2 linked regions of the Mytilus edulis genome follow. The protein of the gene in region 1 purifies or fractionates together with the protein of each later gene. This does not show direct contact. Links are inferred from orthologs where the notes say so. Each region holds a gene or a part of one and is shown on either strand. Other genes may lie near its edges. The genes, in order: RILP-like protein 1 and ras-related protein Rab-10-like.

Region 1 (16,405 bases):
TCAAAATTTAAAAAAGAAAGCCTGAAAAATAAGACAAACATCATAATTATACTCCGTCCGTCCGTCATTCCGTCAGACCTGTTCTTGTCATCGCAACTCTTCTGAAACCGCACAACAGAATTTCATGAAACTTTGTAGATAATAAGGATATACTATGTAGATGTGCATATCGGCAGGAAATTAGGATTCAATTATTTTTTTTCTAGGAGTTATACCATATGAACTTTTTAGATATTTGGCTAAAATATACTGCTACAACAATTTGTCATCGCAACTCCTCTGAAACCACACAACAGAATTTCGTGAAACGTTGAAGTTGATAAGGACATACTATGTAGATGTCCATATTGACAGGAAATTAAGGTGGATTTTTTTTCTAGTAGATATATACGCTCCTTTGAACTTATAAATTTAGAATAATTATCATGACTACTGCACCACACACCAGAATTTCATGAAACTATATGTATATAATAAGGACATGCTAGAAGTGTATATCGACAGGACCGTGAGTACTATTGATTTTTTTCTAGGAGTTATGCCCGTTTGAACGTTGAATTTGCCTTAAATATACTACTTCAATAGTTTGTCATAGCAACTCTTCTGAAACCACAACAACAGAATTATATAAACTTTGTATAGTTTATTAGTTTGGTCCTTGATAGGTAAGCTTTACTGACCTGTCAAATTCCTGCTTGAGTAATAAAAAAAACATATAAATTGGAGATTATGGATTTAATCTTTTACTTTTTACCCTGTTTAAAATTGTTTATTGTACCACTTTAGGAATAAGTTATTATTAAGTTATCAACTGTAAAATACATGTAATATTTACAAAATTACAAAATTAAATCAGTTAGTCATTTAAGTATGCACAAAAAGATTTTGACCAATACATAGAGGACATAATATGTTAATGTACATATCCACAAGAAAATTCTTATCAGTTGACTTTTGTAGAGTTATGAGTCTTTGAACTTAGGAATCTGGTAGAATTTTGTTTGTCCAGTGACAATGTGAGAGTGGGGTATGTGAGCGTGCTCACAAAGGTTCCTTAATTTATAAATGTAGTTTGTAACTTTTATTTATAACTCGGTATTCCCTTGGAAAAAGAGAACCTAGCTTTAAGTCTGTACAAATGTCTTCACGATGATGTCGTGTTCAAGTTATGTTAACAGGAAATTTTGTTGAATATCTCAGTATAAACACCTACAGCAAAATTTCTCGAGGGCTTTCTTTTTTATCCTCATAAATGAATATAGATAATATCCCATGTCTGAATTTGGACGTAATCTCCAAGTTGTATAGTAGATTGTGAAAAAAACTTTACCGTGAGCGTTTTTATTGAACAAACAGAAAAGAGGTCGAAGATACCAAGGAAAAAAAAGAGTAATGATTTGTTTGGTTTACTGATATGATTATCCTGTTTTAATGAACATCTTTTGTAGTGCATGACATGTCACGTATTCGACTGAGACTCACGGTTTGTTTGGCATTTGATCATGTGTATGCCGTAATAAATACACTCATAAAATGAAGAAAAAAAACTAATTTCTGATTTCCAGTCTATTTTTATCGATTTATTGTCAGAAACATTAACATCTCAACTTTTGTTATCAATGTAAATTCATGTTCTCAGTCTTGGTTGGTGTACTACTTTTCCGATTTAGGTTTTAAGGGGGTTGTGATCCGTTATTAAATAGTAGAATTTTGGTTATAAGTTATATTTTTCTGCAGTAAATTAACAATGAAAATAATATATAAACCTTGTTTCGTTGAAAAAATAATAAGCATACTTATTAATCTTACAATGGAAGACGAAGTGATTTATAAATAAAAAAATATAAGGTATCATTTTTATTTATTTTTCTATCCCGCATCAATGTTTATTTATCAATATGTAAGGTCACGAAGGCGTTTTAATAAATGAATTAATCAACAACGTCATAAAACACTCGCTAATGGGATGGGTCAGGTGCTCGATAAGGACAGGAAGGGGAAACAACTCGTTACCTCAATGCAAACGCCATCTTGATGCTCGGAAATATTTTTTTCTGTTTACCAAAAGGTTGATTTAGCGGATCGTACATATCAGAATGACAAGTAAGTCAGCCACATAATATTTTGAGAACATGAGCTTGCGATCTATCTATATGACAATAATAATCGCACAGAAAGAACTATCTAAATCAGACGATCAAAAAGTTGTGCTATTGAAAATTATTGAAAGGAAATCGCAAGGCACTTGCGATTTCAACTTTTTTCAAGAAAATGACATGGACAGTTAAACTATTCTATTTTTTTTTACATAATATACCGTACACATGGTGTTTAAAGTTCTACTGCTCGATATTGGAAAACAAAAATTAAATCAAAAATCAAAATAACGAGTTTGCAGTTGCATGTTGACATTGTTGTTGTTCTATTGATATGCTAATCAAATACCACGTCATAAATTATTTACCACACAGTCATGCCGAATCCTTGAAATAGTTCCTATTTAAGTGTTGGCAGAATGTAAGTGAAAAACATCCTAAATTTTACATAATTTATATTGCTTGATATAGTCATCATGGTCATGTAATGTTTTTTTTTTACAAAAATGTACCATGTTTCATTGTTTGTACTCTCAGTCATTGTTAATTGTCAGGTCAGTTGTAAATTGTTGTATTGCACATGGTAAGCATTTTTTCTCAATTTATAAAGGCACCCAAAGGTGTGGTATGATTGCCAATGGGACAACTCTCCACAACTTGTGGCACAAGAGACCAAATGACACAGAAATTAACATTTCTATAGGTCAATGTACAGCCTATAGTGCAGTCAGCTATAAAAGGCCCAGAAATGACAAATATATAACAATTCAAGCGAGAAAACTTACTTATTTGTACGAAAAAAAACCACCAAAAATAATAAATATGTATTAAACATGTCATCAACAAGCGACAACCACTGAATTGCTATTCTCCTGATTTGAGACATGCACATACATACAGAATGTGGCGGGGTTAAACATGTTAGCTGGATACCTACCGTCCCCTAACCTGGGACAGTGGTGCAACAATACAACACCATAACAAACTATAAGAATCAATTGAAATAGACCTAATATATTGTAAGTAAAGTTAGTAAAGAAATCTTTATTTACAGTTTGGTTGCATATATATATAAATATTAATAGCAAGGAACATTCATGCTTTTAATTAGAGCTCTTTAAGGATTATGTACATTTTGGCTAACCATGGAAATTTCCGAGAAAGTCCAGCCTTTCCTTTGTACTGTACATTTTGTAATATTTGACCATTCTATATACATGTACATTTTTTTGTACATGTACAATGTATGCTTGATAGATAGAGCATAATTGCATACCTTCTAACATGTAGCAATAATTTCCTTTGTATGACAAGTTTATAAATCAAATTCATGAAATTATTGGTTACAACAAATGTAAATATGGGCCAATTCAAATACATCTTCTAAATTTCTAATGTGCATTCAACTTTAGTAACTCACCAGGAGGATTCTTGGAATGTAAAGGTTAGTCAGGGTGAGGCCTTTTTGTAAATAACGGACAATTGCATCCCATTATCCCTATTTTCTATGGCATGCAATAATTTAAAACAATAAATAATGTACATGATGTATCTGCGTTGAAAGGAGTTTTCCCTTGGGTAACATGCATATGTGCAAAATGGCACATCTCTAATACCATGAATACATGTATTCATTATTTTGGCTGTTTTGACATTTTTGATATTATTGAACTAAAAACATTCCAATTTTTTTTCTTCAAACCTGTAGATTTTGAGTGTTGCAGATGCTGTACATTATGCAGAGGTATGTGAAATGGAAAGAAAGAGATATATGAACATACAGTGACTGTTTTGAATTTAAGGTGTACCGGTAAGTACATTGTATATATATATATAATATAATTATTAAAAAAATGATATATCAGCTTATCAGTGAATGTTAAAACATTTATTAGAGTTCTATATTTCAGTTAAAGTAACAATTTTTGTTATTTGTGTATAAAGCAAGGCAAATGTAAAAGTTAATTTGTTAATACATGTAGTATATTGCTCATCTTACAATATCATATTTATAGAAAAAAATAATTTTATTGGACTGTTTTCCTCTGTTGGATATGCAATTGATATTAAAATGAATCATCAGTAACACAAAAAATCTTTATCTTCAGAGGCAGATTAAGGGGGCAGTGGCCAACCCCCACCCCACCCCTTTTTTGTGGGTTGATTATATAGTGGGTCTCATTGGAGTCTGAATGTGACGCGGGATTGCCGATTTTTTGTAAGCGTAACATGTGAAAGTCAAATTATTGTGTCTGGAAAATGGGAAATGAGGTCTAGCGGGACCCAGGAAAATAACAAAAAAATGAGAATTGCTTACATACATAGTGTAAGCAGGATACGGGAATCTGACAAAACGGTAAGCGGAATCCGGGATCAGAACCCCCCCCAATAATGAGACCCCCCTATATAGGGAATTACTGAAGCATGACTGGAATGGGACCCCTCTGATGACTATTTCTGGATACAAATGATATTTATATTATATAATAACATGCAATTGTTTTAAATTCTTGATTTATATTATCCGATATCTATATGACTCTTCTCTTTTTCAGGTAAAAATGTCGAGCTACAAATTGTACCAAAAAAGATATTGAAAATTTTAAAACTGTTTTAACAAGGGCATCAAAAAATAGAAAAAAAAGAACAATACCAGGGCTGAACTTTTGTGGCTGCATGCAATTATTTCTAAAATACCAGGAAACAAGATGTAGCTGCACAGAAGACACGGCAGATCATGAAATTGCATATAAAATAAGGAATGCTAGAATCCAAGAAATCTTTTAACCAAGTCAAGTGTTTATAAGACATGTAATCATGAAAATACTAACACATATATTAGTATTCACAGTCACATATTATATCCCAAATATAAGAACTATATGGTATGTGTGACTATGTCATGTTACAACATGTATGCTCAGAATATTTTAATTTCACAAGGATATGAACTGGATAAATGAAATATTGTCAACCATTTAAATAAAGCAGACTGGCTAACATAAAAATCAACTGTCTATAGATGTGAAAGTTCAAGTTGAATAAAATTGTCTCGAATTAACATACCATATATCCAAAAGTACTGAATTGCCTTTCTCAGAATATTTGTATGTTTAATAGAATGATAGCTGTATTTTTTCTTGGAACTGTATCAATATAAAAAAGGGAGATGTGGTATGATCGCCAATGAGACAAATCTCCACTAGAGACCAAAGTAAACGTTAGAAAGGACAGGTCACAGTTGTGTTTGTCATTGTGTAGCAATCTATAAAAGACACAAAGATTTAAAAGTGTAAAAATATTCAAACAAGATAAACAACTATCAATGATTCCTCTTAAACCTGCAGCCAACACACTGAAACTAAAACAACAGTCAATTACAGTCATATTCACAATAGGTACTATTTTTGGACAACAGAGAATTCAAAATACCATCAAAGGCAATAAAGGTCAACATGAGAACTCAATAGGATATTGAATTTTGGTTAATTTTCATTTACAAAGCTACTTTTGCAAAGGTACAAATCAAGTACTGTAAATACAGGTACATGTACCTAAATATTGATTTTGTGTATTTGTATATAAGGTACACAGTTTTCTCTGCTTTCAAAAGTTCCTATATGAAGCTGTCCAGGTTTCTTACTATTTTATCATTATTATCTGGAAGACATCGCTTATTTCCCCTGAGAAGGGTAACTCATGTTTATCATCAAAGATGTGCATCACAACCTTGGTAGTGTACTTGCTCACAATATGCCATTAGAGACATATATTCCATTAAAAAGTAGATAGATGGTTGTTTTCAGGGTTTGTATTCTGCAATTCTTGGAACACAAAAATAATAAAGAATGACAGGAAATAAAGTAAAGTGGGGAATTCAGTTTAACAACATACAGTCTGTGTTTGAGTTTTAGACTTAGCCTTTGAGTGTTAAAAGTTTCACAGTTCTTGAGTTATGTCCCTTTTTAACATTATATGCTAGCTAGTGAGGGCATCATCTGTGTCCCTTTGGACACATTCCCCATTTATTTTTTAGAAGTTACTATTAATTAAAATTAATATTAACCATGACATTTTATTTTAAATGAGTAGTTATTGTTGCAAACTCCATTAGAAATTTGAATTGAGATCATTTTTAGAATAAGGGAAAGGGGGAGATGAAAAAAAGGGGGGGGGGTTCAATTTTTCAGATTTCAGAAATAAAAAGAAAATTTCTTCAAACATTTTGTTTTTGAGAGGATAATATTCAACAGCAAAGTGAATTGCTCAAAAAGCAAAAAAAAAATTAAGTTCATTAGACCACATTCATTCTGTGTCAGAAACCTATGCTGTGTCAACTATCTAATCACAATCCAAATTCAAAGCTGAATCCAGCTTGAATGTTGTGTCCATACTTGCCCCAAGCCTTCAGGGTTCAACCTCTGCAGTCGTATAAAGCTGCGCCCTGCGGAGCATCTGGTTGGTTATTGCTTAAAACTTACCACACTTTTTAGTTATATTTATGTTAAGATCTGTATAATTTTTGGTGAAGATTTACAATTTTATTTTAGAGTAATAAGGGTAAAAAAGGAGGGGGTTCACATGTCGCACCATATGTCAGAAACTTTATGATTATTGCATAATATTCACACACAATACGAAGGGCGTATCATATGCTCATGGCGCAGCTGTTTATTATGGTTTGTTCTTAAATTGGAATACTATAGCCCAGGCGCCTGAGGTTATAATCCCTCATTCTGTATGCTTCCCCCCCCCCCAAGTCAGGACCCTGCAATTCAATGGTTTCCGTTGGTTTCTCTGTTTCACATTTGTTTTTCGTTTATTATTTGATAAATATTTTTAAGTAAGTTTTTTCGTTTTAATAGTTTTAGATTTGTCATTTTGGGGTTATATATATATAGAAAATGTAGTAATTGTTTTGCTCATTGTTGAAGGCCATACGGACGTCGTTGACCTATAGTTGTTAATTTCTGTGCCATTTGTTCTCTTGTGGAGAGTTGTCTCATTGGCAACCATTCCACATCTTCTTTTTGTATAGCTTGTGACTTTTGTAGCAAAAGCGAGACAGCTATCCTACATTCCTTCGTCGGTGGTGTGGTGTCCATAAAAGTTCACTCTTTGGTGAAAGTTTTTGGAATTTTAATAACTTTTTTAAACTGCCCTCGGTTTCTACCAAACTTTGAAGGAAGCTTGTTTATGATGTGAAGATCATTACTATCCAGAATTAATTTTTTTTTAAATCGGTTTATCCGCACTTTACTTATAAATGGACCTACTTTTTCTGCCAATTACATCCAGTTTAAAAAAAAACCATTGATTAGATTTATAATCCAATATTGATTTTAACTCGATTGAACCGAACCCAAAGATATATATAGTATCTAAAGAAAAAAATGTTTTCACCATTTTTTGTTGAGCCTGCTACATTTGGTACTTAAAAATTTTACAACAAAAGTAGGCGAGACCCTTACGATTTTTTTTCTATGATGAACTCTTTAGATCATAATATATATTAATGATAAGATGAAAAGAAAATAGAAAGTCTATGTACATCTTATATGAGTCACATTGACAAATACAGCATGTACAGTGTGGTCCAAAAAATGTAGAAAAATCAGAAACTGGAATGAAATACTCTGTTGTCTGTGGTTCTGTCATAAGCACATATATACTTACAAGCCGCTTTTGTAATATAAAATAGATAATTATGCATTCATATATTAGAATAAGAAAAGTCTGACAAATTAAGACGATAAAAATTAAATAATCATCACTGACACAAGAGTAACCCGGACAGTTCAAATAGTTTATACTGCAACGACCTGCAGGTAGAATGCGAATTACCTGTCACTAGATTCGAGGGGGGGGGGGGGGGGACAGGGAGAAAGGGGGTAGGAGAAAGGAGAGGAATTTAAGGCTGGGAGAAAGTAGAAAAAGTTGGAGAATGGAGAAAAAATAAAATATCTCTCCTTTTAAAAAATGATCTATAAATATTTCAAGAAAAAATATCTCAAAAGGAGATGTTTTATTCTAATGAGAGAAAGGAGAACGGGGGTAGGAGAAAGGAGAAGAGGGATGGGAGAAGGGAGAAGGGTACTCCCCCTCAGATTCGTTAATAATGTACAAAAATATTTGCACTACAGAAACAAATAAATTGGGGGGAATTTATTTTTCTTTTAGTTAATTACCATTTTATAATCATATATATCATGAGTTGAACAAGCGCATGGGTGTAATTAATACGCGTTAGTTAGTTATCAAACTGTGTAATGACCTTTTAAATTTAGAATAATCGAGTTCAAATATATCAATATTCATGTTGTAACTTATTGTCATTTTGACGTATTTTTTTTTAAACCAATGGCAAGATACGATTTATTTTTCGACTTTCTCTGTTATTTAGCCGTTTGGTATGGTAAAGTCCCAACAGCTTCGAATAAGATCTTCCCAGCATATTAGCATTGGTTTCCCTCCCCCTTACTTATATTCCCCTGATAAGGAAGATGGTCAAAGTATATTTGGGAAAACATGACTAAAATCAAATATCTACCATGGATACATTTAGATCTGATAGAGAAGTAATGGCAGAAGAGGCTGATGATGCCATTTCAGTCGTTGACGTATACGACCAAGCCGCGTCAATTGGCAAAGAATTCGAAAGAATGATAGAAACATTCGGTGTCGAAGCAGTAACAGATTTGATGCCAAAAGTGATCAAAGCATTAGAAAATTTAGAATCATTAGCAGCTAGATATGAACGTGAGAATACAGAGATAACGGAACTCAGGACAACAATTCAAAAATTGGAATCTGAAAAAAACGAAAAGGCACAAGAAAGAATGAAATATGAAGAGGTTAATGTTTGTTCTTAAAACTTGTACAATGACAATGTTTTATGTCTTTTCTTTTGCATATTTCTTATTTTTCATATTATTTGTTAATCAAAAAATTAGGACAGTAAGATGAAAGTATGTTCTTTGTTAATTGCACTTATTTGAGACTGTTTAGTACAATTCTAATGCCAGTATTTGTTGTAGGAATCAATAATTATAATATGCAGTGTATTGATCAATATCTTTACAGTGATTAATTCAAAACTTTAAAGCAAACAGAGCAATTCTATTGATGAATTTAATTAATTTTGTGTAAATACTAAATAACGTGAAAAAATTATCTGTACATGTCAGCACAATAAAATAACATTAACGAAACAGCATGAGCTACATATATATAATATGAAGCTTTTACATGTTATAAGTCTTAAGTTTCTTCAACAGACTTCTAATCATCATGGAGGCTATTGAGAATTATAGCAAGTAAAAATAAGAGCTTAAATTCAGGACATGACCATCAAAATAAAACCACATTATTTAAATGTCACAAAAGCATAAAAATTATAATCATGATAATCAAACCAAAACAATTGAGGAAGATACAAATTAAAATTCACAGTAAAAGATTAAGAGCCATAAAGCAGATTTATTATAATACATGTAAGTTAAAGATAGGATTTTTATTATATTCCTGTTGGTCTCCAGAAAAGAGAATAATGGGTAAAAAGTATAGAACTCAGATTATATGTGTGGAAAATGACACTAAATTAGAAAAAAACCAGATTTACACAGAAATGATAATCCTGAACCATGATGCTTTCTCGTTGATATTGATCTATCATGATCATGTCAAATGTACGAATGCTGCTGGCATATGTGTGGTTCCATGAATACATCATAGTTAATTTCAGATTCTAAGCTGAATTTAACTAAAAGTTGTAAACACCAGTACAAAAATACATGTGTATGTACATATACTTTGTAATTTTAGAATAATAGAACTTTTGATGGAAATGTGAAAAAATTAAGCACTTTTAGTTAAAAATTGTATCTAAGTGTTTTAAACATGTCTTAATTTGAAAAAGAAAGATTATTAAGTGATTAACTTGACTCAAAATGTAATGTGTTATGACCTAATATGACACCATGTTACAGACCTTCAGCTGTGTTGTTTGATAATATTGTCTGTTATTGACTTTCTGATGATTACCTCAAAACTTGTATTATTAATATCATGGATATTGCTATTATTAGGAGCTTGAACAGATAGAAGAAAACTGGCACAGAGAGACAAAAGACCTATATAATTCTATTAATAGATTAGAAATTGACAACAGAAGGTTAAAAGAACATCTACAAAACCAGACTGTAGCTGTAAAGGAGGAAGTAGCTGCTGTAACTAAACGTTAGTAAATGTTTGATATGTAACCATGGTGACCAGGGACAGAATTTGTAGGACGAATGCATTGACAAAATTTTTCCCTATTATTCTCCTTCAGAAATGACCAAACCTACATGAGAAATATGAGGGGGGGCTAGAGGGGGTCTCATCCCGATTTCCCGGTTTTTTTTTGTCACAAAATCCCGAAATCCCGGACATATTTTGGTAAAAATCCCAATCCCGATAAACAAGAAATCACCATTTAATTAATAAAGAGGTCCTCCACTATTTTAGGTAACGAATACTAGTAGACACATCTGACACAACTTTTAAAGGAGGCCGTCCTGGTAAACTTTGAAAATTAAACCCTCTGAGTAATGTTAATCTTAAATATTTGCTTTCAATTTGTGCCGATGATTTTGACCAATATATTTAGTACGTATACATTTTAAACACGTCAAGTTGGGGTATTTGTTTTCTTCAAAATTGCTGCTGCAGAATGCCATAAAATATTTGTATATGATATTCGATTATAAAGAAGACTGTGTCTGTGAAATTATATGTGTAGTAAGGCCAAGAAAAATACATGTGTTTAAGGTAACATCCCCTAAAAAATTAAGTTAGGTAGAAACAGTCAGGGGACTTACTTAAATGAGTGATTTTTAAATCACTTATTTAAGTAGCAAATTAGAAATTTTGTTATAAATTGTGATTTTGTAGTTATACTAAAATTTTAAACACATAGCATAATATCTTTTCATTAGTAAAATTGAAAAAAATGAACTTTTTGCTTCTTTCAAGTAGAAAGGTTTATGCCTTTGGTGCAATAATTTAGCTGCAAATTCTATTTGGGTGGATAAAATGCTATAATAATGGCCTAACTTAATGAACTGATACTTTCTTAACAGATTTTCCCCAGCAGTGGGAGTATTTTTCCTGTAAAGTTCAAGGTTTCAACTTTCAGATTATGTAATAAAATTCTACTGTTCGCGATAAAAATTTCACTGTTCGGGGGTGTTAGTGAGGGTTATTAGAATAATGATACTTAAAGAAGTGATTTTGCTAGCAAAAATAGTTTGTTTTTTTCAAACGTTTTTGACTGGTTCATATGGGAGAAAAATATTGACTCTACAAGTGCTTGTCCACCATGTCCACATAACATAAAAAAACCTTTTAAGAGTAGAGTTAGATTATAGGTACTTAAAAATAGGGTAGATATATATATAGGGGTACCGGAAACACATGTGTTTTCTTTTAGGTCTTACATGATCTTACTCTTATTGAAAATATCCAAATCAAGTCTAACTTTTGGGAAGGGTTGTAAAGAGGCGTTATGTTCAGGGATAAACGCGAAATAAAATTCCAATTTCACGATGAACGAAAAATAAAAAAAATGCTTGCACGTTGCCGTTTTTACCAATTTCACAGTGAAGCACAAATTTTTTTCACGGAAAGTTGTAAATTAAAAAAGCCAAAACACGTTGCACGAAAAAAACCTTTACCACACTCTTTGGGTATACTGATACTCTAAATCAGAGCGACACTAATACCAAGGAGCTTATACATAATTTTATCATGAATTTTGGTGAGCATTTCATTCGCGTACAGATTTATTTTTTGTGATGTGTCAAAGGCATTTGATCGTGTATGGCACATGGGACTTCTATATAAGTTAAGAAAATATGGAATAAAGGGTAATTTGCTTAACTGGTTCAAAAGTTATCTTTCTGATAGACAACAAAGGGTTGGAGTAAATGGGTTTTTTTCTAACTGGAATACTGTCCAGGCAGGAGTCCCTCAAGGGTCCATCTTTGGCCCTTTTCTGTTTTTATTGTTTGTGAATGACATAGTAGATGTGGTTACAAACAAAATAAAACTGTTTGCAGATGACTTCTTGTCTATATTGTGTTGTACATGATGAGAGATCAGCAGCTGAATCCCTGGGGCAAGATCTAGAATCATTAGGTCAATGGGCAGGAGAATGGGGTGTTGTAACCTTCAATGCAGACAAAACCAAATCTATATGTACTTTACGAGAAAAAGTAATATTGATGTCACATCACTATGCATGAATGATGCACCTCTAGAAAATGTCTCAGAACATAAACATCTTGGTATAACCTTATCATCTAATGCCAAATGGTCTAGTCACTTACAGGATATTTATTCAAAAGCTTGTAAACGTCTTAATATTATGAGATATTTAAAACATAAGATTGATGGACAGTCTCTGGAAAGACTTTACATTGCATTTATAAGGCCTATTTTAGAATATGGGAACATAATTTGGGATAACTGCACACAAGAAGAATCAGATCTAATTGAGTGTACAACAAGCTGCTGCCAGAATTGTAACTGGGCTTCGAAAGGGAACTCCTAGATGGAAATTATAAAAGGAATTAGGTTGGGATTCCCTTCAGAATAGACGTCAGAAAAACAAATTATTGTTTCTTCATAAAACTATTTCTGGAGATATTCCTAATTATATTGCTGCTGATATCTTGTCGTATACAAACACTTATGACAAGTATGGACTGAGAAAAAAAAGGAAATTTAAAACTCCTCAGTGTCGAACCACAGCCTACATGGCCTATAAGAACAGTTTTATTCCACATACTCTTGAAAAGTGGAATTCACTTGATGGAGAAGTTAAAAATATTTTAAGCTTTACAGGATTTAAAAGAAAACTGAATGAGGACATAAGTCCTTGTCCTGTTTTCTTTTCCACTGGTTCACGTAAAGTTAATAGATCTATAATCCACTGCCAATTAAGAAATGAGGCTAGTGATCTAAAAGATCATCTCTTCTGTGATCATTTGTCGGACAGCTCTATATGTGCCTGTGGAGATCCAGTAGAAGATAATTTTCATTTCTTTTATGTTTGTCCATTTTACATTTATCAGAGATATGAGCTCTTTCGACAAATAAGTAACTTTAATAATGTCAATCTTGATGTCCTACTACAGGGTTGCTCAGACTTAAATATTGATGAAAACACTGAGCTATTTACATATGTACAACAATATATTCATGAAACTGGAAGATTTTTATAATATTTCATGTGCTACTATACTGCTTAGAAATCAGCTTATAACCACAGTGTACCACTCTTTAATTAAAGACAAACCTAACTTTTAACACAAAAAAAAACAACCAATTGTGTTTAGCATCTTTTTGCAAATAAATTTATACATATTTTATTTTATTTTTTGTATTAGTAATTATATTTTCAAAAATCAAGAAATTAATAGTCTTGTAATAAGATGGTACACTAAATTACTTATGTATTGCAAAAAAGGGCCAATCAATTCTTGTTATTCATATAAATAGAACAACTTTGTTGCAGTGAGTTTGTGAATTTGAGTAAAAAATAACTTAATGATCTACTTGATTCCTAACCAACACTTATTGATGTGGTATAAAATTTGACACTACCTTCAGTAGGTCTTGCTTTGACTTTGTTAACATAGTTATTTATATATGTATACACAATAAAATACTTCAAGAAGTGGGGGAATTGCCTCCCCTGAATCACTGCAACAACGTATTATGATCTATTAAATTATCAGAAAATTATATACTACTGTATCATGCATGTTATTCAATCCATCTTGTATGGGAAAGGATTTGTATAGGCACTGCCTTTTGTCCAATCCCTTTGTTTAAATGTACATTTGATATTTGAACAATAAAATATTTTGAATTGAATTCGCGTACAGTGGATATTAAAGCTGAAATCATCTCTTTTGTCGTAAAGTTTTGTTTTCAACCGACCCTCATTGTCAATTTCTAGATGTAAGTCAAGATATGAGGCCGACGTAACTGTATCTGTAGTATCCTTTATCTCTAGCTCGATTGGATAGATGCGTTCCACATAGTCACCAAATTTTGAATTATTTAGTGAAAGAACATCATCTATATAGCGAAAAGTAGAGTTAAAGGATAGTGCTAACTTCTTATCTTTCTTCCTAAGAAGTTCCTGCATGAAGTCAGCCTCATAATAATAAAGAAACAAGTCGGCAAGTAGAGGGGCACAGTTTGTTCCCATTGGAATGCCGACAGTCTGTTGAAAAACACGTCCTCCGAACGTAACAAATATGTTGTCAATCAAGAAATCAGGCATCTTGATAATATCAGTTTCAGAGATTTTTTTGTTCGAATCAGAGTGATCCTTTACAAAGTAGGATTTATCCCTCCCTAAGACAAGATACTTGTATCTACGTTGGCCATTCTTTTTTTACTAAGCAAAGCAATACCAACTCTTTCAATTTGTCTTTTAGTTTGGAATGTGGAATACTAGTATACAGAGTAGAAAAGTCAAATGTTTTAATACTGTTACAAGATGAAAGAGAGTTAGATTGTATGTACTCTAAAAGATCTTTGGAATTTTTAAGTATCCACATCTGATTCACGCCCCCTCTAGAATAGGCAGTTTCACAATAACTTTGAAGCCCGTCTTTGATTGCTGATAAAATAGATGTTAATAATTTAGAAAGAGGTTTCGTGGAGCACTTGAGCACTATCTCTTTCATAAGAAGAGTGATTTTTCTATTGTTCTAGTGTCACTGGAAATCCCACTGAAATATGGCACTGGCTACGGTTACTTCAAAAAGTGAGCAGAAAATAACAATAAGATCTGGATCTAATCTGTTTCTAGATGCGATTCTGATTGAAGTATAATGAAAATGGTACTTTTATCTGTCCAAGGTACAGTTTTTTGTCAATCCCGTTATATTTCAACATAAAAATCCCGATTTCCCATGGCTAAAAATGTGGGTTTCCCGTATCCCGATGTTTTTCTATCCCGAATTCCCGATCTTTAAACAAGGCAATCCCAATTTCCCGTTGCTAAAATCGGCCAATCCCGGCGTCCTGAAAATGGTCTCGCCCCCCCTCAAATATTAAATCATTTCTACAAAGTTCTCAAGATGGGAAATAGTATATATATTTCAAAAGAATATTGAATAAACATTACAGTAACAAGTATAATCTTTGCAATTCTTGTAAGCATTTTTCTCTATCATTACTTAATGCATGTTGGAAAAAATCATCAGGTTTTTTTTTTTGAAATTGGACAACAGGCTTAACATGTTCAATGTCAACATATAACATGTATAAATCGAGCAGGTTTTTTATAAAATATTTTATTAAATTAAAAAGGAAAAAAGTGTCAATTAAGGCAATTATTCTTTAAAATGTAATTATCAAATAACAAGGTTGGGAAGACGTTTGAAATGTTGTTTACTTTTTATTTGCTATTAATTTGCAGATAGCCAGACAAATAAGATAAAGATCATTAAGAGTTAATTAAAATTTAATTCGATATCATGAAAATATTGAATAAATATGATGAAAAAAATAAAAAATGCTGGCTGTACTTTCAGAAACTGAGGAAAAAGAAATTGAAGTTCTGATGAAATTAAAAGATACTGTTGACAAGCAGAGAGATGATCTAAGGAAACAGAAAAGAGACCTGAGTCAGAAAAGTATAGATTGTGAAGCAGTAAGAATATCTCTCAATAATTTGAAATTGTATTCCTTTTGTGAAATTCTTGTTGTCAATAGCTAGAGTATGGTAAATAAATGTAACAATTTATCTTGATGTCTTAATATGATAGATTATATTGTTGTAAATATTATGTAGAATTCTGAGCATTCATCAATGAACACAATCTTTGTAGAAAGTAACACGATTTATTAATATTTCACTACATGTATCATACAGATGTCACAAAGTTTACTTAAAATACAAAACACACTGCATACACTATGACAGTTCTAACCATTCCAGCTATTCTGTTTATTCGTCAACATCTCTCTGCTCTCACGTCCCTATCTAACAACGTCAAAATATGGGGAACAATATTTACAATATATTGCTTAATCGCAGAACTGTAGACAAAGTCACAGTCACAACACAATAATAAAATCTTTTTTGATAAAATATAAGTCTTTAAAAAAGGGGTAATTTTATCTAAGATTCTAAGACATAAATTGTCAATTTGATTGTCACAAATTGAGTGCTTGCATTGCATTAGTTGCTAGTAAAGGGATTTTTGTGACCATTCAATCAAAAACTGATACTTATCATAACT
Region 2 (15,913 bases), on another chromosome or scaffold:
AGAATGCGATACAGTTAAGTCTGCCTCATATCTTGACTAAAATCTCAAAATTGATAATGAGGTTTGGTTGAAAAACAAACTTTATAAAAAAAAAGAGATGATTTCAGCTCCCTATTGTGAACTTTCCATTTTTATGGGCAACATTCCAGCAGCGCATGAATACGGAGTATATCTCCCAGCTGATACGATACTACAGGGTTTGTTATTCCTATAATTATTTCTTTGACAGAGGGTTGCTGTTTACAAGGAAGCTTTTATGATAAAGTAACAACTAATAAAGTAAAAAATAAAATTTGTTATGAAAACAAACAAAAAAATTTAAAATTCTGAAATTTTTATACCTGCAAGCCTCCTTAAGGGGCGAAAGATACCAGAGAGACAGTCAAACTCACAGATCGAAAATAAACTGACAATGCCATTACTAAAAAAGAAAAAGACAAACTCCATTCCCATGGGAAACAACTGTGCCCCTCTTCTTGCTGACTTGTTCCTTTATTCAGTTGAGACTGACTTCATATAGACCTTCTAAAGAAGTAAACAGTAGCATTTAACTTTGCTGTTTACAAGGACGCTTTTAACCAAAGAGTTGAAATTCCTTCTTAAACTTTAAGCACCCCATCACGGGTTGGTTGATCGTAACGGAATATCTGTTTCCCAGATGATTGTGGATCTGTTCCTAATAACATTACTACAATCTTTTCTGGAATCTGACCCACTGAAAGAGACTTATTACCGAGTTTGTACTAACACCAGCAAAACGACGGGTGCCACATCCTGAGCAGGATCATGTTACCCTTCAAGATCACCTCAGATCAACCCCAGTATTGGTTGGGTTCGTGTAACTCAGTCTTTAGTTTTGTGTTTTGTATTTTGTGTTCTTTTATCTGTATGTTATTCGTTTCCTTTTTTGGCTCGCATGCCGTTGTCAGTTTGTTTTCAAGTTGCAAGTTTGAATGTTCCTTTGGTATCTTTCATCCCTTTTTTTATTTAGATTTATCCTTATTTTTGTTCAGTCTAGGGCATTGTGATCCTCCAATTTCAAGGACTGCACTAAAATGGGGAAAGTATAAATGTTCTTGACGATCACATGGAATTCTTCAGACACCGGATCTGTCATGCAGTTTTTCCTTTTGTAAACTTTCGTTCTAAATGGTAGTTTTAGAAATTGAAGACACTGGTTCTTCTTCTAGATGGAACAGGCGGGATTTATCACATTTCTTTGTCTGTTTGTCTAGAGAAACACATATTCTAGTGTATGAGCCCTTTGTTGGAAACATTTTTACATGAAGGTTTTTTTTTGCAGAAAACAAAATTGACGAGTACACATCTGTTACTCACCAATTGCCGCACTGTAATATATCAAATCACTGGCTTTGACGATGTTGAGTACTTTTATGAACTCCGAGTCAGTTGTGAAGACCATGATAGACAGAAGGGTTGATGAGCTACTTCAACAGAATAAAAATAGAAAATTCGGAATGTACTTAGAGTGGGGTGCGCATATTCGCCGGGGACACAATTTCGCCGTTTTATAATTTTGGGTTGTAAATACTTCAAAAGATGGCTGAAATGGAAGAAATATGCCGGTAACTAAGATTTTTATAACAAATATGATTTTATTTTAAACTACGACAAAATTGCGGTAAGTCAAAGGACCGAAAAACGGATAACGATTTTCGGCCAATTTTCTGAATAAATAACTTTCAAATTAGTATTTCTTAGTAAATATTTGACTGATTGCCCTAAATTTCAGTTCTGTACACCTTTAAAATGTCTGCTATTGCCATCTATAATGAAATTGATTTGAAAAATATTGTTTAAAGCTGCAGTTATTTGGGTTTAAATAGATGTATAAAAACGGCGAATATGTGTCCCCCATTGACAAAACATCAGGCAATTTCAAACACCCTTTAATCTAACTTTTCAGACGATTATTTTCAAACAAACACGTTTTCAAGCTTAAGAATATTTTGCATTTGAAGTTATCTTCGTGTAGAAATATCAGTTTACTTCAAAAACATATAGACCTGAACATAAACTGTGGAAAACATGGAAAGATATGGCGAAAATGAGCACCCCACTCTAAGCCATAATCAAATGACAAGCAAACTACTAACAATTATTCAAACAACCTCTCTACCATGTAAAGGTATGAACAATTTTCATTTTCTTTTGATTATGAAGACATAACTGAAGATAATGCCACTGTCTTAGTCCCCACTATAATGGAGGCAATTCAGATATAATTGTAATCTCATATTTCACGGATTCCTCATTATCCTAATAATGGTTGATTATTCTATGTTTGTGATAGTGTCTGGCTTTTGTTGGAAAAGTCACATACCTTTTTTTTATTTACTTCTTATTTCAGGTTTGTGAATATTGATTTTAATAAAACCAAAGCACATAGAGCTCTGGTGGTTAGTTTTGTGTAAATGGTAAACTGATTGTTTATGCAGTGAAGTCCAGGCGTCATGTAGCCAGTGCTTATATAATTGCTTCTTATATAGATGACATTTAATTGATAAAAACTTCGGAAACTATCACTGTCAATACAATAGATTCAGATTCAGATTCTTTATTTCTTATAAAACCAAGTTAATAGTACAAAGAAAGATATTTTTACATATTATAACATACAGATTTTGCGCATGACAAATTTGCACAAAACGAGCAACAAGCCGATGAGAGATTGGTGGTCAACCTGGAGAACATACTTCTATATTGATAATTCTAATTAATTTACACCAATTTTTGAATACACGAATATTTTTTGAAATAAGTAAAGCGCCGAATTTCAAAACATTTACTCGGCTTACATAGTCAGTTTTAAGAAAACCTCTTCTGATCTCTTCTACTTTCTATTAGAGCTGTACAGTTTAGAATATAGTGATATTCATCACCTATCTCTTGAGAGTTACAAAGTACATAGTACCTTTCCTGTCTAATAATTCAACGCCATCTGCCGGTTTCTTAGGCATCCGATGATTTCCAGTTCTAAACCTACATAACGTTATTTTATCTTTATAAGGTAATAAGTCTAGGCTAAATAAGAGCCTAGATGGTTCTAGTAAGGGAGCAACCACTTCACTTTAAAAGGTGGCCACCGTTTTTAGAGTTTTTTTTTTATCTCGTGCCAGTGGCGTAGCCAGTGTTGAAACGATGTGGATGCGAAATTGTCGGCGAGCGGAGCGAGGCGAAAAAATTTTGGGACCATATTATGCAGAATTTTTTTTTTTTTTTTTAATTTTCCCATTTATGCATGAGTATTCCCCTAGAAACCGACACTAGTTAGATTTTTGTTTAATTTCAAAATACCAACCAATATATATTCATTTTCCAACAGAATTTTATTGTTTTCTCGAAAGTACCTTCAATCAATTCAAAAATATTTAATGTTAAAGTTTCACACTTGACATCACAAAAATATAACAAGTACAGCGGCACCTCTGTTCATGGAACTTCGAAATATAGGAATCGCAGTGATCCTCTTTCTCGGAATATAAGCCTCACAATGGTTTTTTTTATAAATTGTCTTAAAGTGTTGCAGTGGACATGGAAATACCGGGCGGCCTGCTTCCGTCTGGTCTTGTTAGCACTGTCATGCATACAATTCCTGCCAGCTTTTTGTGAAACTTGTATCATCAGCAATGTCTCAGTTGACAATTGCGAAAATAAGTCCTGATCATCTTTTTTGAACCCATTGGAAATATAAATTATGACTGAAATCCAATTGCATTTGTTCTGAAGCTGTTATTTCTCTCCAGATATTTTGTATCTTCGATAAATAAAATAAGAGTAATGCTGGGACATAGGAACTCTTTTCTTAAAAATAAAATTAAAATATTTGTAACTAGATGGAGAAGGTATTTATTAGCAAAGAAATGATAACACTCCATTATACAAATACGGTTTTTATCACGTTGTCTTTCGCATGATAGAAAACGTTATCAGGATATGATGGTTTAGTTGTCAACTTGCTCAATTTCAAACTAAACATGCGGATTTGTTATAACCACCCTCAATGTTTGTCGCAGCCGACGACAAGCTACGACGTAGACTTTTCACGAAAAAGTAGAGAACACCTTTTTTGCGATTTATCCATCTTGTTTACATACACTAAATGATCCTATAGGAAAGACCACTCATACTGCTTCGTAAATGATTGAAAGACATTTTCAAATCCTCACCTTTGTATCTGCTGTGAACACATGCAATCATATATTTATTAAAAAAACTTTTTTTTGCCAAAATGATGTGGATGCTTGAGCATCTGAGCATACATGCAAGCTACGCCACTGCGTGCAAATCACTAAAGTAAAGGGAAATTCTGCACTCAGAATATTTTTTTTGTCATCTGCTTGACCATAATATTTTTTATTCATCAAATCGGGGATCAGAAACATAACCCAACCCCTCCCCTTTGAAGTGAAATGGTACCCTAAAAGAACAAACATTGTATGGGCCATGTTTAATGGCCTATATTAACAGTGCGAAACTGACCTAATCACCAACATTTTTATGTTCATTGATGTTTCAGTATACGGATCATTTGTAAAAGAAACTGCACATTTCTAGAAATTAAAGAAATGTGTATGCCAACGTTTAAAACGTTAACAATGTTATACAACGAAAACAAATTGAAAATCATTGTTTACTAATTTCTTAATCTGCTAAAAGTAATTATACAACACGACACCCTTCCTGTGTTTCCTTTCAAAATTTAGTCAGCGTGGTCTTTCAGGTCATTTATTATTGGTAGTGGACACTGTGGGACTCAGTTGGCAGTTTTTTTTCTTCAAAATCTATTTAATTTTCAATGTTCTTTTCACTGAACCCAGATTTAGAATCAGCATGACGGGTGGCAGTTTAATTTCGACTTATGAGCTTGAATGTCCCTCTGGTACTTTTGAGGTTGTTTTTTTATGTGTTGTAAGACCGCTGAGCTGAGTCATATAAGACTACACATACATTGCAAATCAATATTACATTGCATACGACTCAACTACATTGTAAGTCAAAATACTATGCATGACTTAGTAACTTGAAAAAAAAATGTACGGAAAATTATGGGACATTAGAAAGATAAATAGACAAATATACAAAAAAGACTTAACATTCAGTTGAAACACAAAGTTCCTTTGCCTACCAACAAAATATGTTTTCCCGTTTTATAGTAATCTCTGGTTTGTCTCATGAATTGATAAATAGAGAGGTGAAAGATACGGGTCGCCGAATGGTACTCTTGTGGTTTTGTACAAAATTCAATTCTGTCATAACAATATCATTTTTGTCTTACAAAACTATGTGAGAACTTGAATTTGGTGATGACAAAATTAATTTTTGTAGACAAAATTCAATTTTGTCAAATAGGTATGCAAATATAAACTGATTTGCATACAAAATTGACTTTTGTAACAAAAATGAATTTTGAAACACAAAATTTACTTTTGTGTTAAATTTTCACTTCTGTTTAACAAAACTCAATTTTGTCTACACAAAAATAAACACATAACTGAATTTTGTCATGACAATAATGAACTTTGTCTTCAAAAATGAATTTTGTGTCACAAAAGTCAATTTTGTCAACACAAAAATAAACACAAAATTGAATTTTGTCATTACAAAATTCAATTTTTATGTTTATTTTTGTGTAGACAAAATTCAATTTTTGTGTTTATTTTTGTGTAGACAAAATTCAATTAACAAAACTCAATTTTGTCTACACAAAATAAACACAAAATTGAATTTTGTGACAAAATACCAGTTTTATATGCAAATTAGTTCACAGAATCCAAACTAAAATTGACTTTTGTCGCCCAATTTTCAAATAAGGTAACAAAAGTAAAGTCTGTGTTTCCAAAAATGAATTTTGTCATTACAAAAGTAACTTTTGTCCACTGAAAGATAATTTTGTATGACAAAATTTTAAATTTGTAGTATGCTACAAATTTTGATAAACTGAACTCATTTTCGTTGAACAAAATTCACTTTTGTCCGTATGAAATTGAATTTCGAGTACAAAACCACACGAGTCCCATTCGGCGCCCCGTAAAAGATACCAAAGGGACATTCAAACTCGTTAATCGAAAATAAACTGGCAAAACCATGACAAAAAGACAAACAACACAATACAAAACACAACATAGAAAGAAAGCTTAAGGCTGAGCAAACACCGGGAGTGATGTCAGGTGCCAAGGAAAGGTAATAAGATCCTGATCCACATGTGGCACCCATCGTGTTGCTCATGCATGCAAGTACAACCCCGATGGTAAGTATAATTCGGATGTCACATTCGTTGATAAATAAACGGGGTTGTTAGAATTGGAACGTATCATAGTCGTCATCTTTGAAACTGAGACACCAAAATAGTCAACTTACTCGTTAAAGAGTCCGTAAAATATTTGAAGGAATGACCACTTGGAACTCTTGGTTTTATGACTACCTTTTGAGCAGACACTAACTATCATTGAAATCATGATAGGAAATACAAGCCCTGGAACATCATATGAGATATGTACTCATTATGCAGGCGCTGCTGAAATGGTGGTATATATAAAGAAAAGGAAAGTCCACAAGTGGGAAGCTGAAATCATCTCTTTTGTCACAAAGTTTTGTTCTCAGTCGACTCTCATAATTAATTTCCAGATGTAATTCAAGATATAAGTCATACTTAAATTTATCATCCACTGTATCCTTTATTTGAAGTTCGATGGGATAACTGAGTTCAACATAGACCGCACCAAACTTTGAATATGTGTTGAAAGTATCTTTATAAAGCGTGAAGCGTTAAATGATGCTGCTGACAATATGTGTTCCTCATTTCGTCACAAGTTTTAACCATTTATATATGATATGCTGACATATTTTTATCATTTTTATTTCCTTTTTCTGCAGTATATACCGAAAGCTCTTCAATTGTATAAGCAACTCTCCTTTGAAGATCAGTTTGCTACCTTTATAATAATTTTCGACTATGTAAAGGTTCTAATACGCATGATACGCTGTGCACAACTTTTTCTAAAACAGAAGTATTCTTAATCAATTATAAAATTTGCTTTCTATAAATCCAGAGTGAAAAATATGTCTGTTGCAATATTATCTTGAAGTTTATTGAAGAAGTTTGTAAAGACCAACATGAAACCAGAGACATAGTATAATACAATTCACTAGATGTAAATAAACACAACGGCAGCCGCATTGGACGTAGAGGTTAAGAAATAATAATAAAAAAGAAGGATTTTTGGAAGATTCTTCTTATTAGATTGTGAGTTAAATAGGGAACTGGGAAACAAATTTTGGAATAATTTAGAAATCAGCTTTAATGTTAAAGGTTTGTCTGTATAATAAAGAAAAGGTGACGTTTAGGGGGCGCCTTTTTACCAATGTTACACGAAATGACATTTGCGCTTTATTCTAAAACTAAGCCGATTATTTTGTAATTGTCACAAACTTATTGCTTGATGTTTATATTACAATAAACATTTACAGCTGATGCTGTAACGATTTCTGGCAAACTTTTTCTGAATGAAAAACATGGGGCAATCTCAAAAAAATTCTTTGACTTGATTATTATCAAAAAAATTATGGCGAAAATGAGAACCCCACTCCATGATATTAATAAACAATGATTTAAAATCATAACCGATATAATTTTTGGAGTTTACCAGTTAGCACCAATCAGTCCTTTTTATTAAATTATATAATATTATATATGAGTATACATAACCTGAAGTCTATTTTGAGAGTCTGTTTCTATAGTTCAGACCATTCGTCTCAACTCGGCCGATTCCGTACCCTCTTCTATAGAGTAGCGGATTCTACCGAGGAATAATCGCAGATCTTCGGAAAGGTTCGGAGCTCTTACGATTTGTCTCGGAAGTTATCTCCCTTGATAATGACCCAGTAGGAAGTGACGTGACCAGACGGAAAATTTACTGTTTGATCGGTCGATCAGTTGATTGTTAATCATTGTCCTAAAATAGACAGTCTCATTGTTTATATACAAGAACTTTAACATGTTGAACCACAGTCAGAATCTTGACAGTTAAAAACAGGAATTGATCGTCAGAAAAAATAAAAAAGGAAAATCAGACCGCCATTTTATCAAACCAAAAACACTTCTTCAAGTTATGGCGAAAAAGACATATGATTTATTGTTTAAGTTACTTTTAATTGGTGATTCTGGAGTTGGGAAAACTTGTTTACTATTTAGATTTTCAGACGATGCTTTTAATACAACATTTATATCAACAATAGGTGAGTGTTGATGTTTAAAACACTTGATTTGATACCTAGTGATTGAACTGATGAGGTGATGATGACTCATACACTGATACAATGAACATGAATTTTATTGACCAGTTGGTATTTTACTAGCCACACACTATATCAATAGTGTCAAGGTCATGATAACCAGTTTCAGGGGTGTCTTTTACAGCTTATGGGGAGATAACAATGACTTTGTCGTAATAACTCAAATGTTTTACATCCAGTATTTTTTGCGGTACTGTATTGTTTATATTTGTAAAAAAATAATATTATGATATTATATTATGCTCCTTTTGAGCCCATTTTATAGAAATAAAGCGTCTTCTTCTTCTATTTTAAAATGTATATATAAAAAATAAGAAATATTAAGCCTCGGTCACACCTTACCGGATAGCCTGAACGAACGCCTAATGGATGAAAATAAGAGTTGTCTGTTGACAAAATTGTTATCTGTTGGGAGTCCATTGATGTACTGACCGAATAAACGGACGTGTAACAAATTCATAACGGACACACACCGGATATGCAACTTACGAGAAATGGAAACGTAACGGACAGAACGGATGTCCAACGTACATCCAATGGATGGGTACCCCATAAAACGGACACATAACGGAAACCTACAGGATAAAACTAATGAACAAGATATAGATCTATGGAAAAAATAAAGGCGACAATTATAATACATGTAAATTGCATAAATATTCAAAATGTTTCTGTGTGACTGGTTTTGGTTTGTTCTTCAAAATGCCGCCGAAGGGCAGTATCTGGCCTGAATAAGAGCTGCATGATTGTGAAGACGTGCCCTTACTCTAAGATCGATTATGAATAATAATAATTCATGAACTATAAAAAATCTAATTGGCATTTCTGTCGCGAATTTTTTTATTGGCATTTTTCCGTTTCAGATTCGTTCATCATCTGTTTTATCCGTTATACGTCCGGTAGAAATCTGTTTCACATTTGTTCAACATTCGTTTTATCCGTTAGACGTCCATTAGAAGTCCATTGGTGAATTTATCTGCCAGACCTCCAACGGATGTATAACGAACATGTATTCATGTAACAGAAACAAAACGGACGAGTACCGTAGAAAATGGACACCGGTCATCTGTTCATAGTTTTGAACATGCTCCAAATTTTCCAATGGACAAAACTTAACGTCGACAATTAAAAAGTACGCTAAACCTACATGCAACGAATATGAACGGATTGAAAAAAAGTTATCCGTTTGGCATGCGTTCCAACCATCCGTTAAGGTGTGACCGAGGCTTTACAGTAAAATGTTCATTCTTTCAAATACAAATAACAGATCATTTATTGAAATCAACCTAGCTGTATAAATAATATTTAAAACTGATTATGTCATCATGTCTATTTTTTCATCACATTTTATCAAGTTGTATTGAACATTATTATCATGCTTGACTTTTTATACTAATGTATGCAATGCATATGTTTGCATTTTGTTTGATTTTTCATGATGAGGGCCTCAGGATAGATTAGTTATATAGCTAACTGTGTAACCCTCTTAAAATAAAGTATTATTGTTGTTTTTGGGATACGATTGCTTTCAAGCAATCTGTAGACTTATACCGGTGGCTCAGAGCAATTTCCCTCACGTCAATCATTTTATTCTAAACATTAAGGAACATCTTAGATTCTTATGATTGTCTTGCTTTAAAAGGTAAAAACAAACAAAGGGATTGAACTTAATCAACTTTCCTATAATGTTCTTTTCATAATCTTCATGTTTGATAATTCCCTTGACTTCGATGCGTGTTTTTAACAACATGGAAAATCAGAATTAAGCAGTATTTATATTTAGTGTAGTTATAAATTTAGAAACACGTCACAGGGAATTCCCAGTTTTGATAAAATGCGAGAGTTCTCTGAATACCGATAAATCTATTTCTTTCATATAAGAACTGAAGTGGAGTTTTTCTTATATGTTACCGTTATGAAACTGATATTTGAGATTGTACTTCCATAAAGAAACTGAGAACCATCTAGGTCGTTTAATAAGCATTTGGAATATATCTTGCCACAGGGTTTGATTTGGAAATTATGTGCATGCGTATAGTTTTCTTGACTTTAAGGGGTTTTAGATTGAATGGTTGCTCTGGATTCCCCACTCAATTAATTAATTTATAACTCATTGGATCTTTTCTATGTATGTCTGCTATTGAGGGTTATTGTTGCATAATTTTAAATCATGTGCATCATTTAGATTAAAATAAATATATTCCACATCGTAGAACACCCCTTCAGGCGAAATGGAGTCTTCCATATTGTTGTTTCGAGTTGTCTCCCTTCCGGCAGTAACTTCCGTGAATTCTGAATATAAACAAGATGTCGAGTATTAGCTTGTTCTTTCAATAAACATCGTATTATATTAAAAACGAATGCAATTTAAACCGATAAATGTGTACGGAAAGGAGCCATGATGACTGACCCAAAGGAAATTAAATATTTAAAGAGTTAGGAATGGGGTTCCTCCTAGAATTAACGTAGGAAAAAGGTGATAAGATACAAATTGAAATCTACATCATACTACGATTCATCAGCACATTGATGACTATACGTCGGTGCATCGCTAATAGTTATCAAAGGTACCAGGATTATAATTTAGTACGCCAGACACGCGTTTCGTCTACATAAAGACTCATCAATGACACTAACAGACACTTAATAAAATATAATAACCAATGAGTGAAATAAAATACCTTCTCTGACATCTCTCACTCCGAGTCAGTCAGTGACTGCTGTGGAAAGTAAACTTGGTATTGATAGTACAAAAATAAAACACAATAGACCTACATGTAATTACATTGTTCATACACTTTTATCCGGGTTTGGCTATTTTGTAACTATTTTACATGTCTGTTTGTCATTTGAATTAGTTTTGAAAATAATATTATCCAGCTACATGCATACATGTGTCAATGAAACAATGGCAATCGTATCCCTCAGAGCAATCTGCTCTTTGATTGTTAATACTTTCTCAAATTGAATACATCTTTGTTATACCATGCATATGCATGAGCTAAATAAAAGATAATTTCAATACAATGGTTTGAATTTGAAGCTACATGTAAATCCAAACTACTGTGAACTCTGAAATACATTTTGAAACAGAAAAAATAATTATAACCTAAATTACTTTCTTATTGTTTTGCAGGTATAGATTTTAAAATTAAAACTGTAGAATTAGGAGGCAAGAAAATTAAATTACAAATATGGTAAGTTAAATTGTATACTTATATTATTAAAAAGGGCAGTGATTATTACAATAAATAGCCTTTATAGATTAATCAATTTATTTTTTTAATTACACAAATCTGTCTGTGGTACAAAAAAGTTACAGGAATTGATCTCTTATCAGTGTTGATGCTAAACAGAATTATGAAACAGTAATGGTAATGGGATATTTTCTCATCTCCACATTTTGAGGTGAAATAAGTATGTCTTAAGTGCTCTCCAAAATCAGGAAGTACATGTATCAAGCCATCAAGAGCATGTTACATGTCTGAAAAAAGTTCTAATTTGAGAAAAGGCTTATAACCTCTTTTATGCATGCATGCTGACCCTTCAGCACTGTGGAATGATCTGGTTGACAGAAATGTGTGCACTGTTCAGAAAAGATGTTTTAAAGTGTTTGTATTTTGTGATTTGTTGACTTGCATTTTCATGTATGTAAAACAAGATTTACATACTTTTATAAAACTTGTTACAATGTATAATTGATACCAACTGTTATTTCTGAAAGTGTACATTTGCATGTTAGCAATATACCTTGTTCAAATATTTATACATATAAATATATGTATATTATTACAAAACTTGAAGGATGAATAGCACTTAGGGAAAGGAAGTTTTAACAGTTGGTTTTATATTAATATAGGTCAACTTAAGATCACAGTCTAATATTCTACATGTGAAAATAGTATACAAACTGTCAAATGATTGAGTAGATTGTATATTTCAGGCTCTGCAGTTACACATACACGTACCAATTGAAATACTTTGTATTTCCATTGATTCTACTGACCCATCCCACATGAGCATACATTGTATATACCAAATACATTCAATTTATGCTCACAAAATTTTAACCAGGAAGAAACAATTTTTCAATTTGAAAAGATTTATTCTTAAAATATCATTTTTGATGAATTTAGAAGATAAATGAATTAAGTATTATAATGCGCTATACTGAAAAGTTTGATGACAGTTTAAATTTAACTTTAAAAAAAAAACATAAAAAAGAAAATATGGAAACCTATCAATATTGATCGTGACCTTGACCTTTGACTGTAATGAGCCCCTAATAGTTTATTGTCTTACTTGTCCCCAGTCAGTTTTTCCTTTTAAACGAAGTTAAATGTTTGACATATTACACAAAGAATTTTGTTTTTAACCTTAGCCTTTAGCCTAGTATGGATGATAATATGTGTGCTGTAATTAAAAATCAAAGCACATATATCTAATGTGAATGTAAAATTTTGTTTCCTACATATAATGTTAGTTTAAATTAAAAAAGTTAATTATATATACTATTGTATTTACTTGCTAAAAAGTACCATATGATATGTTGTTTGTTATGGTTAATACTAAATAATGTATATACAATCTTTATTTTTAGGGACACAGCTGGTCAGGAACGATTTCACACAATTACCACATCCTACTACAGAGGAGCAATGGGAATAATGCTAGTCTATGACATAACAAATCATAAAACATTTGAAAATATTACTAAATGGTTACGAAATATTGATGAGGTAAGAGGAAGTATTATTGTTATTATCAATTATGGAAAAATTCTCACGGTTCTGTGTGAAAACTTTGAAATTATTCCTTTTTTAAATAAATAAATGCAATCATTCACTGCTATATTATAAATTTAAACAGTTTGTTATATTGCTATAAGTAAATGCAAAGACTAATAATTAATCTTAAAAATCTGTCAAGATATTATGGAGATACAATATCTTGATTTAGCTCAATAATTTACAGCATATGTGTTCATACAATAGAAATATTGACTTGTCATGTTATTAACTTAAATTCTTATTTTACAGCATGCAAATGAAGACGTAGAAAAAATGATTTTGGGAAATAAATGTGACATGGATAGTAAGAGACAAGTGTCGAAAGATAGAGGAGACGCTGTAAGTAGTACATGTATTAAACTGAAACGCACTGGTTCTTATTTATCTCAATTTATCACATAAAATGAATGACACAATTGAAAAAATTCAAATAGATGAAACAAGGAAGCTTCTTTGGTTTGACTTTAACACAGATTTTTTTTGTAATTAGTTAATTTTTCATGAAACATGTGAAATTACATACTACAGTATTCGATACACATTATAAAAAATATAGTAATACTTGAATGATCAATTAAGTCATAAGGATATATTAAGATATAAATATTTAACACAGATTTATAAAATGTTGAAGATAAGTGGATATGAAATGATCAATATTAATGTAAAATGATGATCAATATTAATGTAAAATGATGTAAAGGAATGGATCTTTTAAAATTAAAAATGTCTATATTATTATTATATTGCTGGCTGAAAGAAGCAAGTATAAAATGAAGTTTTCTTTCTTTTTTATTAGTCTTTTAAAAATATCAGACAATGAGTATTATTTCATGCAAGAGTAGTAGTTAAAATAAATTTATTATTTAAAAACACAAATGAAAACACACATTTCTTTACTTTAACATGTTAAAGTGTGATGCTCACACAACAGTACACGGACAGTTGCAGAATTAGTGCAAGTTTGATGGAGTTTTCATAATAAGTATATCAGAAGAAATATTGTAGTCTAGCAAACCTAGAAAATTGAATTTACTATTTTGTGTACTTAAATAAGTCTTCATTGTGTTTTAGAGAAGAGCGATATATTTTTAATTCCTGATGTTTATTTTTAGATTTCAAAAGAACATGGTGTACCATTCTTAGAAACTAGTGCAAAAGCTAATGTTAATGTAGAAAAAGCTTTTATGGACCTAGCACAAGCAATTCTGAACAAGGTATGGATTGTTCAATAGCTTAGTTAGGAGGAGTATTTTGAAGAGAAAGTTTAAATTCATGTGTCAATAATATAACTGTCTTTCCACATGAATTTTAAGGGGTAAAAAATGTAAATATAGAACCAGAAAAAATTGCTTGGGTGGTACCCAACTTCTTCACTAAAATTAAATTTTCTTTTTAAATTTTCATGAAATTTTGACAAAATATTTACTTTGACACTTTGACAAAAATATAAAAATAAAAAAAGTTTGACAAACACAAAGGAGTATGTTCAGTAAGGTCCTAAAATGGCCCCCTTTTTTAGCGTAAATTTCAAATTCTGATTTATTGACCAATGTCACAATAAATTAAAGCTAATATAGTGACTAGATAGGAAATGAGCTATTTTGTTGAAAACTTTACGTTTCTACTTTACATTATGACGTCACAAGTTGCACTCATATTGATTTTTCACGAACAAATCAATGAAAATAGGTAAATTTCAATAGATTATTGGACAGGAAACATAGAGCGCATACGTCGACAACAAAGATCTTTTAAAATAATGTTTGTGAAGACATTTCACATGTCTTATTTGAATATTAAGTTTGTCGACGCCTGCGCTCTATGTTTCCTGACCCCTTAATTTGGTTGAAAACACGCTCATTTTGTCAAATTTCACCAAAATCCCTTATCTTGACCTTTTTGGGATGTAAAAATCAACGTCTTAGACTTAAACTTTGACAAAAACAGTTCTGTTTAACTTTCTCACATGTATTTTAGGCAACTTAAAACCTTTATTGGCTTGTAACTATGAACTTTATAATTGGGGCCAAATATGGCCCTTACCGAACTTACTCCTTTTGATCATTGAAAAGCTTAATATTTCTTTAACAATACAATGTGATTGAAACGTTTAGGTGATTTTTACAGAGTTATCTCCCTATAGTGTTATGAACTTATTACTCAGTGAATTTGGCTACCCTAAAAAAATCAAATATGAGGTGTTATTTCTACAATGATATTTATAGAAATTGACAAGATGAGGAATCCAAATATGATAAAATGTCTTATAAAATACACAACATGTAACTTCTTAATCACCAGCATTAACAATCAATTTTTAATTTATATCATTTATTGAATTTTTTATAGACACCTGGTAGAGAAATGGAACCAAGACAAGGAGTAGATATGACTACAAAAAAGACATCATCAGGTGGCTGTTGTTCGTAATAACCAACAGTGTTCTAACAGGGAATCAGTTTATACTGGTACCTTCTTTATTCCATCAGAGAACAGTTCTTACATTTATCATTTGAATGTTTTGTCATTACCATGGTGACAGAAATGATCTGGTTAAATGTTTCTTAAAGCAGTTGTATTGCTTGTTTTCTTTTAAAACTTTTGATTAATATGACAGATAAGCAATGAGAGGCTTTGTGAAAATTGTATTTATATAAACTATCATATCTATTTTGAAAGATTCATACAATTTCTTTACATTAAGTATTTCTTTCACAATGTAACTAAATCAATAATCTTTCGTCAGTTTTTGACACCTTTAAAACACACAACACTGGTCTCTTAACTTTATAGATTAAAAATCT

The links.
Region 2: the proteins of RILP-like protein 1 (region 1) and ras-related protein Rab-10-like purify together in Homo sapiens (co-immunoprecipitation; 3 studies listed by BioGRID and IntAct, with this or other methods). This does not show direct contact. The link is inferred for Mytilus edulis from reciprocal best matches to the Homo sapiens genes RILPL1 and RAB10.

The regions. Positions count from the first base shown.
Region 1 is NC_092349.1:38,123,026-38,139,430, reverse strand, and holds the start of RILP-like protein 1, read left to right. Parts: upstream 1-8,589; 5' UTR 8,590-8,647; coding exon 8,648-8,950; intron 8,951-10,183; coding exon 10,184-10,334; intron 10,335-15,694; coding exon 15,695-15,813; intron 15,814-16,405. UniProt on the Homo sapiens protein: Plays a role in the regulation of cell shape and polarity. Plays a role in cellular protein transport, including protein transport away from primary cilia.
Region 2 is NC_092344.1:102,931,316-102,947,228, forward strand, and holds the start of ras-related protein Rab-10-like, read left to right. Parts: upstream 1-7,872; 5' UTR 7,873-8,132; coding exon 8,133-8,259; intron 8,260-11,452; coding exon 11,453-11,513; intron 11,514-12,916; coding exon 12,917-13,055; intron 13,056-13,355; coding exon 13,356-13,445; intron 13,446-14,221; coding exon 14,222-14,323; intron 14,324-15,458; coding exon 15,459-15,539; 3' UTR 15,540-15,913. UniProt on the Homo sapiens protein: The small GTPases Rab are key regulators of intracellular membrane trafficking, from the formation of transport vesicles to their fusion with membranes.